2 linked regions of the Arabidopsis thaliana genome follow. The protein of the gene in region 2 interacts with the protein of the main gene of each other region in a pairwise test. Each region holds a gene or a part of one and is shown on either strand. Other genes may lie near its edges. The genes, in order: AT4G14480 and FLA14.

The links.
Region 1: the proteins of FLA14 (region 2) and AT4G14480 interact in a protein complementation assay, tested with the Arabidopsis thaliana proteins (one large-scale study listed by BioGRID).

The regions. Positions count from the first base shown.
Region 1 is NC_003075.7:8,329,309-8,334,070, reverse strand, and holds AT4G14480 (Protein kinase superfamily protein), read left to right. Parts: upstream 1-2,206; 5' UTR 2,207-2,526; coding exon 2,527-3,990; 3' UTR 3,991-4,165; downstream 4,166-4,762. Other genes in the region: AT4G14490 (SMAD/FHA domain-containing protein), read left to right, coding at 497-1,657.
Region 2 is NC_003074.8:4,016,774-4,020,333, reverse strand, and holds FLA14 (FASCICLIN-like arabinogalactan protein 14 precursor), read right to left. Parts: upstream 1,275-3,560; coding exon 507-1,274; downstream 1-506. Other genes in the region: AT3G12650 (uncharacterized protein), read left to right, coding at 1,737-2,453; AT3G12640 (RNA binding (RRM/RBD/RNP motifs) family protein), read right to left, coding at 2,659-2,922, 3,040-3,127, 3,226-3,332, 3,428-3,489. UniProt on the Arabidopsis thaliana protein: May be a cell surface adhesion protein.

The sequences.
Region 1 (4,762 bases), on a different chromosome or scaffold from region 2:
GCGCTTTCGTTGACCGACAAGTTATATCCCACGCGTCAGATCTTAGCGCGTCGTGTTCACTACGTAGAGGAATATACTCAAAAATCAATTATTGTGTTAGCATTAGAAGCACGTTTTGTTGATTTGCAACAATTGTAGATAAGAGCCTAATTAATTTATAGGAGTAAGGTTAAATTTGGTTGATTTCGAATATAAAAGGGAATTTTAACAGTGGATATCCAAATGATGAGGTGAGATACACGCGAGGGTAAAGGAGCGTGAGGGGAAAAAGGTTGGAAAAAAAGTGGATAAGGGAGAGATAAGTTTGCTGAGAGATTCACGTGTGTTGCTGGAAGTTTGGGTAATCAATAATGCCAGTTGTTTAGCCAATAGTAGCTTTTAGCCTTGAAATTGTTTTATCGTCGAAACGATAAAAGCCCATTTAAGGCCCATTAATAATTGGAGCGTCAGACAAATCAAAATTTCAAAATTCGCATTTGGGAGAGAAACGGTAACAATGGTTACGCCATCGTTGAGATTAGTATTCGTCAAGGGTCCAAGAGAAGGCGATGCTCTAGATTACAAGCCTGGATCTACGATTCGTGTTGGTCGAATCGTTCGTGGTAATGAAATCGCAATTAAAGACGCTGGAATCTCCACTAAGCATCTTCGGATCGAATCGGATTCTGGGAATTGGGTAATACAAGATCTTGGATCTTCCAACGGTACTTTATTGAATTCGAATGCTCTTGATCCAGAGACGTCGGTAAATCTCGGAGATGGCGATGTTATCAAACTAGGTGAGTATACATCTATTTTGGTGAATTTTGTGATTGATGATTTTCAGGAGAAGAAGCTTACGAGGAACAATAGGCGTCAGGCTAATGCGAGGAAGCGAATTAGGGTTTTAGAAAGTATCAATTTGGGGGATATCACTGAGGAAGAAAAGGGTTTGGATGTGAAATTTGAGAACAAGCCGAGTTCTAGGGTTAGGAAAGTTAGGAAAATCGAGGATTCGGAGAAATTAGGGATTACTGATGGATTACAAGAGGATCTGGTGGAGAAAAATGGAAGCTTTAGGAATGTTGAAAGTATTCAGAGTTCATCTGTAAACTTAATTAAGGTTGAAATGGAGGATTGTGCAATGGTGGAGGAAAATTTAGGGAGGGGATTGAAGAAGAGAGTGAGCAGTAAGGCTACGAGGAGCAAGAAGATTGAAGAAAGTGTAGGAAAAGCTTGTTTGGGAGTGGTTAATGTAGAGAAGGTAGAGACTTTAAAGGAGAAGAGGATTACTAGGGCTACAAGAAGCAAGAAGATTGATATTGTTGGAGATTCTTATTTGGAATTGGACATGGTTCTAAATCGAGCCAGAAAGAACAAAGGGAAGAACAAGAAAGCGGATCAGAAGCCGTTGAAGAGCTTTGAAAATGATGAGGTTACTGATTCAGGAGAGCAGGGTTTAAGCTGTCATGTTGAAGAAGATATGAACAATGAACTTGATACAGATCTAAGAAAGATGACATTAGGAGCATTGTTCAGTTTTCTGGAGGGTCATCTGTCAAAAGAGATAATTCACAAGACAGAAAATATGATTGAGCCCATGCGAAGTAAAACTCAGAGAGTTCGTGAGTATATTTCAGATCAAAGAAAAGTTCAGGCTAAAGCGTGTATGTGTTGAATTGACAAAGTGTCCAACTGATATGGTGCACACTGATTATTGGTATAGCTTCAGTTCATGGAATAAGAAACACATACTGACAGGTACAAGTTTCTTATGAAGTAGACCTTAATGCTGTGGGATTGGCTGTGTTGCTTAGAGTTTTGACTGCATTGATTTACTTGCATTTGCTTTACGTGTGAGACAAAGTAAACAGTGAAGTGCTGATGTTTAAGTAGGTTTCATAAGTCTTTTGCCCACTTTATAGTATATGTTTCAAGGACATCCCTGAAGACTTATAAAACAAGTTCTGTTCCATTGTGATTTTATCTTAGCATATTGATGTTTGAATACTTGATCATTCATTTTACCAAATGTCAAGAAGGCTGACGTCTTTTCTCTAGTCTTTGTTTCCTTCTCATGTGGTCAAAGGCAAATGCAAGTTCTTCAGAAATGCCATGAAAAAAAAGTTGTAAAACGAGTCTAGATATCTAAATCTAGAACTTTAAATTTCTGTGAAATGATGAAAATAAATTTTCATAGCTCCATTTAATTTTTGTACCTTTACCGGTTTGAAGTTGAAATGATAGTGTTTGCCCTTTGGGTCCCTGGAAAGACCAAAGGTAAAATCTCATTAACTAAGGTTAGTTAGTTAGCTCTTTCACATGCTTCATCTTATTGTTTCATCAACATATTTTTAAGTAAGAGATAAGGGTTTTGCTTTTACATTAAAGGCTCTCTTTTTTTTCAAGTTCACATGCTAAACCAACTCTTTCTTTTTTCATCCCTATATGAATAGCCTCATGGTACTATTAGCCTCTAAAAGACCACAATTCCACTAAAAACATAACAATTCAATAAGCAAGAGTGTACTCATCTTCTTTCTATTTATGGCTCGGAACAAGCTCGAGTTCCCTCTTGATGCTGAAGCCTACGAGATCATCTGCAAGATAGGCGTTGGTGTTAGTGCTTCGGTCTACAAGGCCATATGCATTCCGATGAACTCAATGGTAGTTGCTATCAAAGCCATCGATCTTGATCAGTCGCGGGCTGACTTTGACAGTCTTCGCCGTGAAACCAAGACGATGTCTCTGCTTTCTCATCCGAATATTCTCAATGCTTATTGTTCATTCACCGTTGATCGATGTCTCTGGGTGGTTATGCCATTCATGTCTTGTGGCTCTCTTCATTCGATCGTCTCTTCGTCTTTTCCAAGTGGGTTACCAGAAAACTGCATTTCCGTCTTCCTCAAGGAAACTCTGAATGCAATCTCGTATCTTCACGATCAGGGTCATTTGCACCGTGACATCAAGGCAGGTAACATTCTGGTAGATTCTGATGGATCCGTGAAGCTCGCTGATTTCGGAGTATCTGCATCCATCTATGAACCCGTGACATCTTCCTCTGGAACAACATCTTCTTCTTTAAGGTTAACTGATATAGCGGGAACACCGTATTGGATGGCTCCGGAAGTGGTTCATTCCCACACAGGGTATGGTTTCAAAGCAGACATTTGGTCTTTCGGGATAACAGCGTTGGAGTTAGCACATGGAAGACCTCCGTTATCTCACTTACCGCCGTTGAAGAGTCTGCTCATGAAGATCACCAAAAGGTTTCATTTTTCTGATTACGAGATCAATACGAGCGGAAGCAGCAAAAAGGGTAACAAGAAGTTCTCAAAAGCTTTTAGAGAAATGGTTGGTTTGTGTCTAGAGCAAGATCCTACTAAAAGACCATCGGCAGAGAAGTTGTTGAAGCATCCTTTTTTCAAGAACTGTAAAGGACTCGACTTTGTGGTCAAGAACGTGTTGCATAGCTTGTCAAACGCAGAGCAGATGTTTATGGAGAGTCAGATTTTGATCAAGAGTGTTGGAGATGATGATGAAGAAGAAGAAGAAGAAGACGAAGAGATAGTGAAGAATAGAAGAATCAGTGGGTGGAATTTCCGTGAAGACGATCTCCAACTTAGTCCAGTGTTCCCAGCTACTGAATCAGACTCTTCTGAGTCCAGTCCACGTGAAGAAGATCAATCAAAAGACAAAAAGGAAGACGATAACGTCACAATAACGGGGTATGAACTCGGTTTAGGTTTGTCGAACGAGGAAGCTAAGAACCAAGAAGGTGAGGTTGTTGGGTTTGATAAAGATTTGGTGTTAGAGAAACTGAAAGTGTTGAAGAAAAGTTTAGAGCATCAAAGAGCAAGAGTGTCGATTATAATCGAAGCATTGAGTGGGGACAAGGAAGAGAAGAGCAGAGAAGAAGAGCTTCTAGAGATGGTGGAGAAGTTAAAGATTGAATTGGAAACTGAGAAGCTAAAGACCTTGCGTGCTGATAAAGATAGTGTTTTGGGTTAACTATTCTAAACTTGTTAATATTTTTTTTCTATATGCTAAAATTATATAAGTGGCATGACATTACGATCAATTGTTTTCAATTTAACTCGTTTTATTTGTCAGTTTAGAATGGCTCCAAATTAAGTTTTGGTAAACAAGTTATATATTCACCAAAACAACATATAAATATTTCCTCTTCATAAAATTTAATAAAGAACAATAAAGTAAAATCACAACAACAAAATGTAAAATTGATATGAATTACAAATACATATTCCCTATTTACTGATGTACTTCTTAGAATCAAATTTACTTTAATAGTCTACTAATTTGATTGTATTTTGCATCTTCAAACACTTTCATCTCGAAAGAAAAAAACTTAATGTTTTTTTTTTTTTAATGTAATGTTAAATTAGATTCAAAAGAAAAATGTCTTTTGTACAACAAGTGCAACGTGAGTTTGAAAAAGGCTAAATACATTTTAGATCAAAGAAACTAGTATAAATTTCTTGTTGCAAACCAAATTTGAAGTCCCGTCTCATGTCTTCTTTCTCCGCTTGTGTTCAGTGAAGAAAGTCGATCTCTTACTTGCTTGTCTATCCATCGGATTAAACGCACCGGTGGATTTGGTTGTTCGCCATGCCGCCGATTGTTACGTTTCCTCCAGATAGTATGAATCGTTGCTTGGAAGACATAGTGAGCTATGAACCGCTTTGTTCGATCTTGCCAATGACCCGAAGTGGCTGCAATCAAGTCATTCCAGTGAGTAGTATACTTTGCTCCATAGATGTTC
Region 2 (3,560 bases):
TTTACTGCACTTTTTAAGCTTTTTTGCTTTTAATCAAAGCTTTCTTTAAGCAAGTCGACATGTATAGTCCCTGAGTTTTGTTTCCTTGTCTTGAAAACTTGTTTGGTTTCGTTGTTAGGGTTTGGGGAGAGACATGGATATGAATGTGCTTCCTGTTCTTGGGTTACTTTTTACCTTTCATAGCTAAAAACTAATAAAGATCTATATTCTAGTTTCTTCTGGCTCGTTGAATAATAACAAAAATTTGCAGTTTGTGTTTTGTAACTAATAGGTGCTTTCAACAACTTAAGTAAAGATAATATCCAAGAACTTTGAATGTTACATTTTTCTGTCTTTATTGTATCGCTCAATTTATTTTTCCCATAGAACTTGTCAAGCTAAATCTTTTCGTACTTTTTAGTGTTCATGTTTTTGCAGCCATCCGAGCTGCGTCTGTTTTATCTTTTTTTTTTGGCTTTCCTTACAAAAACCTGAACTGATCTGTTTAGTTCTTTGCACACTGTTTCTCATCGAAGTCGAGCCATGAACCACCAAATGAATGACATCAACAGCGTAAACGCGAAAGCGGGCTGAGAATCGTTTCTTGAAACTCCATTAGCTGAGCCGGCGTTTTCGGAAGGTTCATCAGCAGCAGCACCAGGAGCAGAGGATGGTGGCTCGTCAAAATCTTGACCATCATCATTAGGTGATTCTGCAGGGCGTGGTGGAGATGATACCGGTGACAAAGGAGAAGCAGTAGGTGCATTATCACCTTTAACATCAATCATTATAGCACTACTAATATGAAGCACAGAGATGTTAAACGGTAGTGCTGCTACAGTGTCTTGAAGCTGAGCATCAAGGCTAGACCCAGGAACCGCAGAACCAAACGCCACGTCTCCGTTTTTCATAACGGTTGCGTTCAAGAACCCTTGTTGGCCTCTGGCTAGACCGCTAGATTGGAAAAGAGTGGTGAGGAGTACTGTTTTCTTGCTCAGATTCTTGAGTTTCTTCTGGTCGTAGTAATCTAAAACAATGTGAAGGCTAAGGATTTTCTTGATGACGGAGGTTGGTTGGCCAGAGAGAGAGGAGAGTGCACCGTTGGAAACCACAAGGACGGTTATGGTTTGACGTTTGTTGATGGTAGAAGCGAGCTGAGTTTCGGAGAGAAGCTGGTTGAAATTTGAGAAATCATCGTGCTCGTTTAAGATGTTAGTGATGTTGAATGAATTTGATGAAGTGTAGAGGAATGTGGAAGCAAAAAAGAAGAAGAAGATTGTAAGTGAAGAAGACATTGTTGTGACTTGTGAATCGCTTGATGAGTTTATTTAAAAAATTTGGTGGCATTTGGCTTTTATATTGAATAGGCATGAGGAAGAGAGTGTGTTTCTCCAAACTTTGTGGGAACTTGGTGTTTTGTCTTGGATTAAGAGCACTTGTAGGTACCGATTATATTGCTCAATTCACTTTAGAGTAAGCCACTTGTTGCACATCGAGTTCTATGCATTGGGATATACGAGTAATCTCATAGAGCGATGATGATAATGTAAATGGTCATGAGCCAAAATCTTGTTAGTATCGATGATAGTCTAAACCAAAGAACCGGTTAAAATTGATCTAAACCGTTGACTTGGCTAGAAGCTATAATTTGATGGATTGGGCCGAAAGTGAAAGATGAGCCCAAAACAATTGGCAATAATAGAAACCCTAAATTAATTACGTAGAGCTTCTTCTCTGCATCGAAATCGGCGACGACGATGATGATCTCTCGTCGATTGGTTTCAAAATTCCTTAAACCCTTGTCTTCTCCATCTTTCCACGTCTCTCGCCGTCATCTCCAATCTTCCTCATCTCTCATAAGAAACCATCTGATCCACGGATCAGTAACTAAGGAGCTTGGTCTCTTAAGATCCTTTTCTGTTTTCAATATCGACAAACTTAGATCTGAAACATGGTCACCGAGGTATTTCTCGACACCAAGCGGAGAGACCGAGCCGAAGAAGCCAGAGGAATCGAAGGAAGAGGAGCTGCAGAAGATGAAGCACCAGGAGATCGAAGGACCAACTGTGGAACGCGATTTGTCAGCGTTAGGAAATGAGACGAGACAAGTGTTGGAAGGGATGATGAAGAATATGTATAGTCTAAGTGGAGCTATGGGTGCTTTGGGTTTAACTCAATTGATTCTTGGAGCGGCGATTTTATACGCCACTCGAGCAGATCCGATGAAGGAAATGACAATTCAGAGCTGTATAGCTTTCGGATTCCCGTTTGCGATGGCGTTGATGGTGAGAAGATCGTTGAAGCCAATGTACTTCTTCAAGAAGATGGAAGAGTTAGGTAGGCTGCAGATTCTTACTTTGACACTTCAAGTTGCTAAGAATCTCAATCTGTTGTTCGTTAGAGCTCGTGTTGTTTCCATCTTGTGCGTTGTTGCCTTGTGTTTCGGTAACTTGTTCCTCTTGTTATCACCATGAGAGCTTGAAATACAATATTTTTTGTCTTTCTTTTTTCATTAATAACCAAACGATTGAAGAAGCATGAAAGTCAATACAAGTGAAAGTTTTGGAGTAGCTTTATAGAGCCAAAAAAAAAAACAATTGAGAATAATATCCGATAAGGTAGATGATAAAACTCATCTTCCTTTGTTTTACCTAAGCTCTTGCTTCTCTTTCTAATCAATCAATCGTTGGCAACTCCGTCTGATTTTGATTCTGCTCTGACATACGTGAGACTACGAGCATTGTTGGGAGCTACATTGTTGTTGTTTCCTGTGTCAGCTGAATCACGCTTCCATTGCATACTCCTGCCTCCACCTCTAACAACAGAACGACCCCTAACTGCACCACCTCTAAAGTATGATGGGGCTCTTGTGAACCTTCCACCTCGAGACCATGACATGCTCGATGCAGCCTCTTGATTTTGTCCATTGCTTCCTTTCACAATCTGTATCCATCAAAATATACACAAACTCATTCCTTATCCTACTAAGATGCTAACCAATCCTAAAGATCACAATAAGTTGGCTATGGTAAACAGTTAAACACGGGCTTCAATATTTACCTTGAGAATCCGAGACATGAAAGAGGTACCATCCAGAGACAATGCATTCTCTGCAGCTTCTTTGCGTGTGAACTCAATGTACGCTGATCTGCAAAAGGCGATCAACTTGGGTCACTAAGGTATCCTCGATAACTGAACTGTGACATATCAAGACATTAATTGGGGTCATGAATTCAGACAACTTACCCACTTGGTTGTCCTGTTGCTGGATCAGTAACTATGAAAGCTTTAAGCACTTCACCAAACTTGTTAAAATGCCTTGAAAGGCTGTCCTTGGTGGCACCAAAATGAACCTGTTTTACGACCAATCACATTCAAATTAATACACCAATTGACAAGTTTTTGCTCAATTCAAGTTCACGAGTATAAAAACATTAACAATTATTACATTGGCGACAAAGATTGTTCGAGAACTAGCATCTTCCAAAGGGCGGGTAGTGGATAATGTCCCTGCAAAGGCCAGTATATCATCTTAGATCAACTTTAACATAGGAACTACAACAACAGGGACCAAAGAAGTG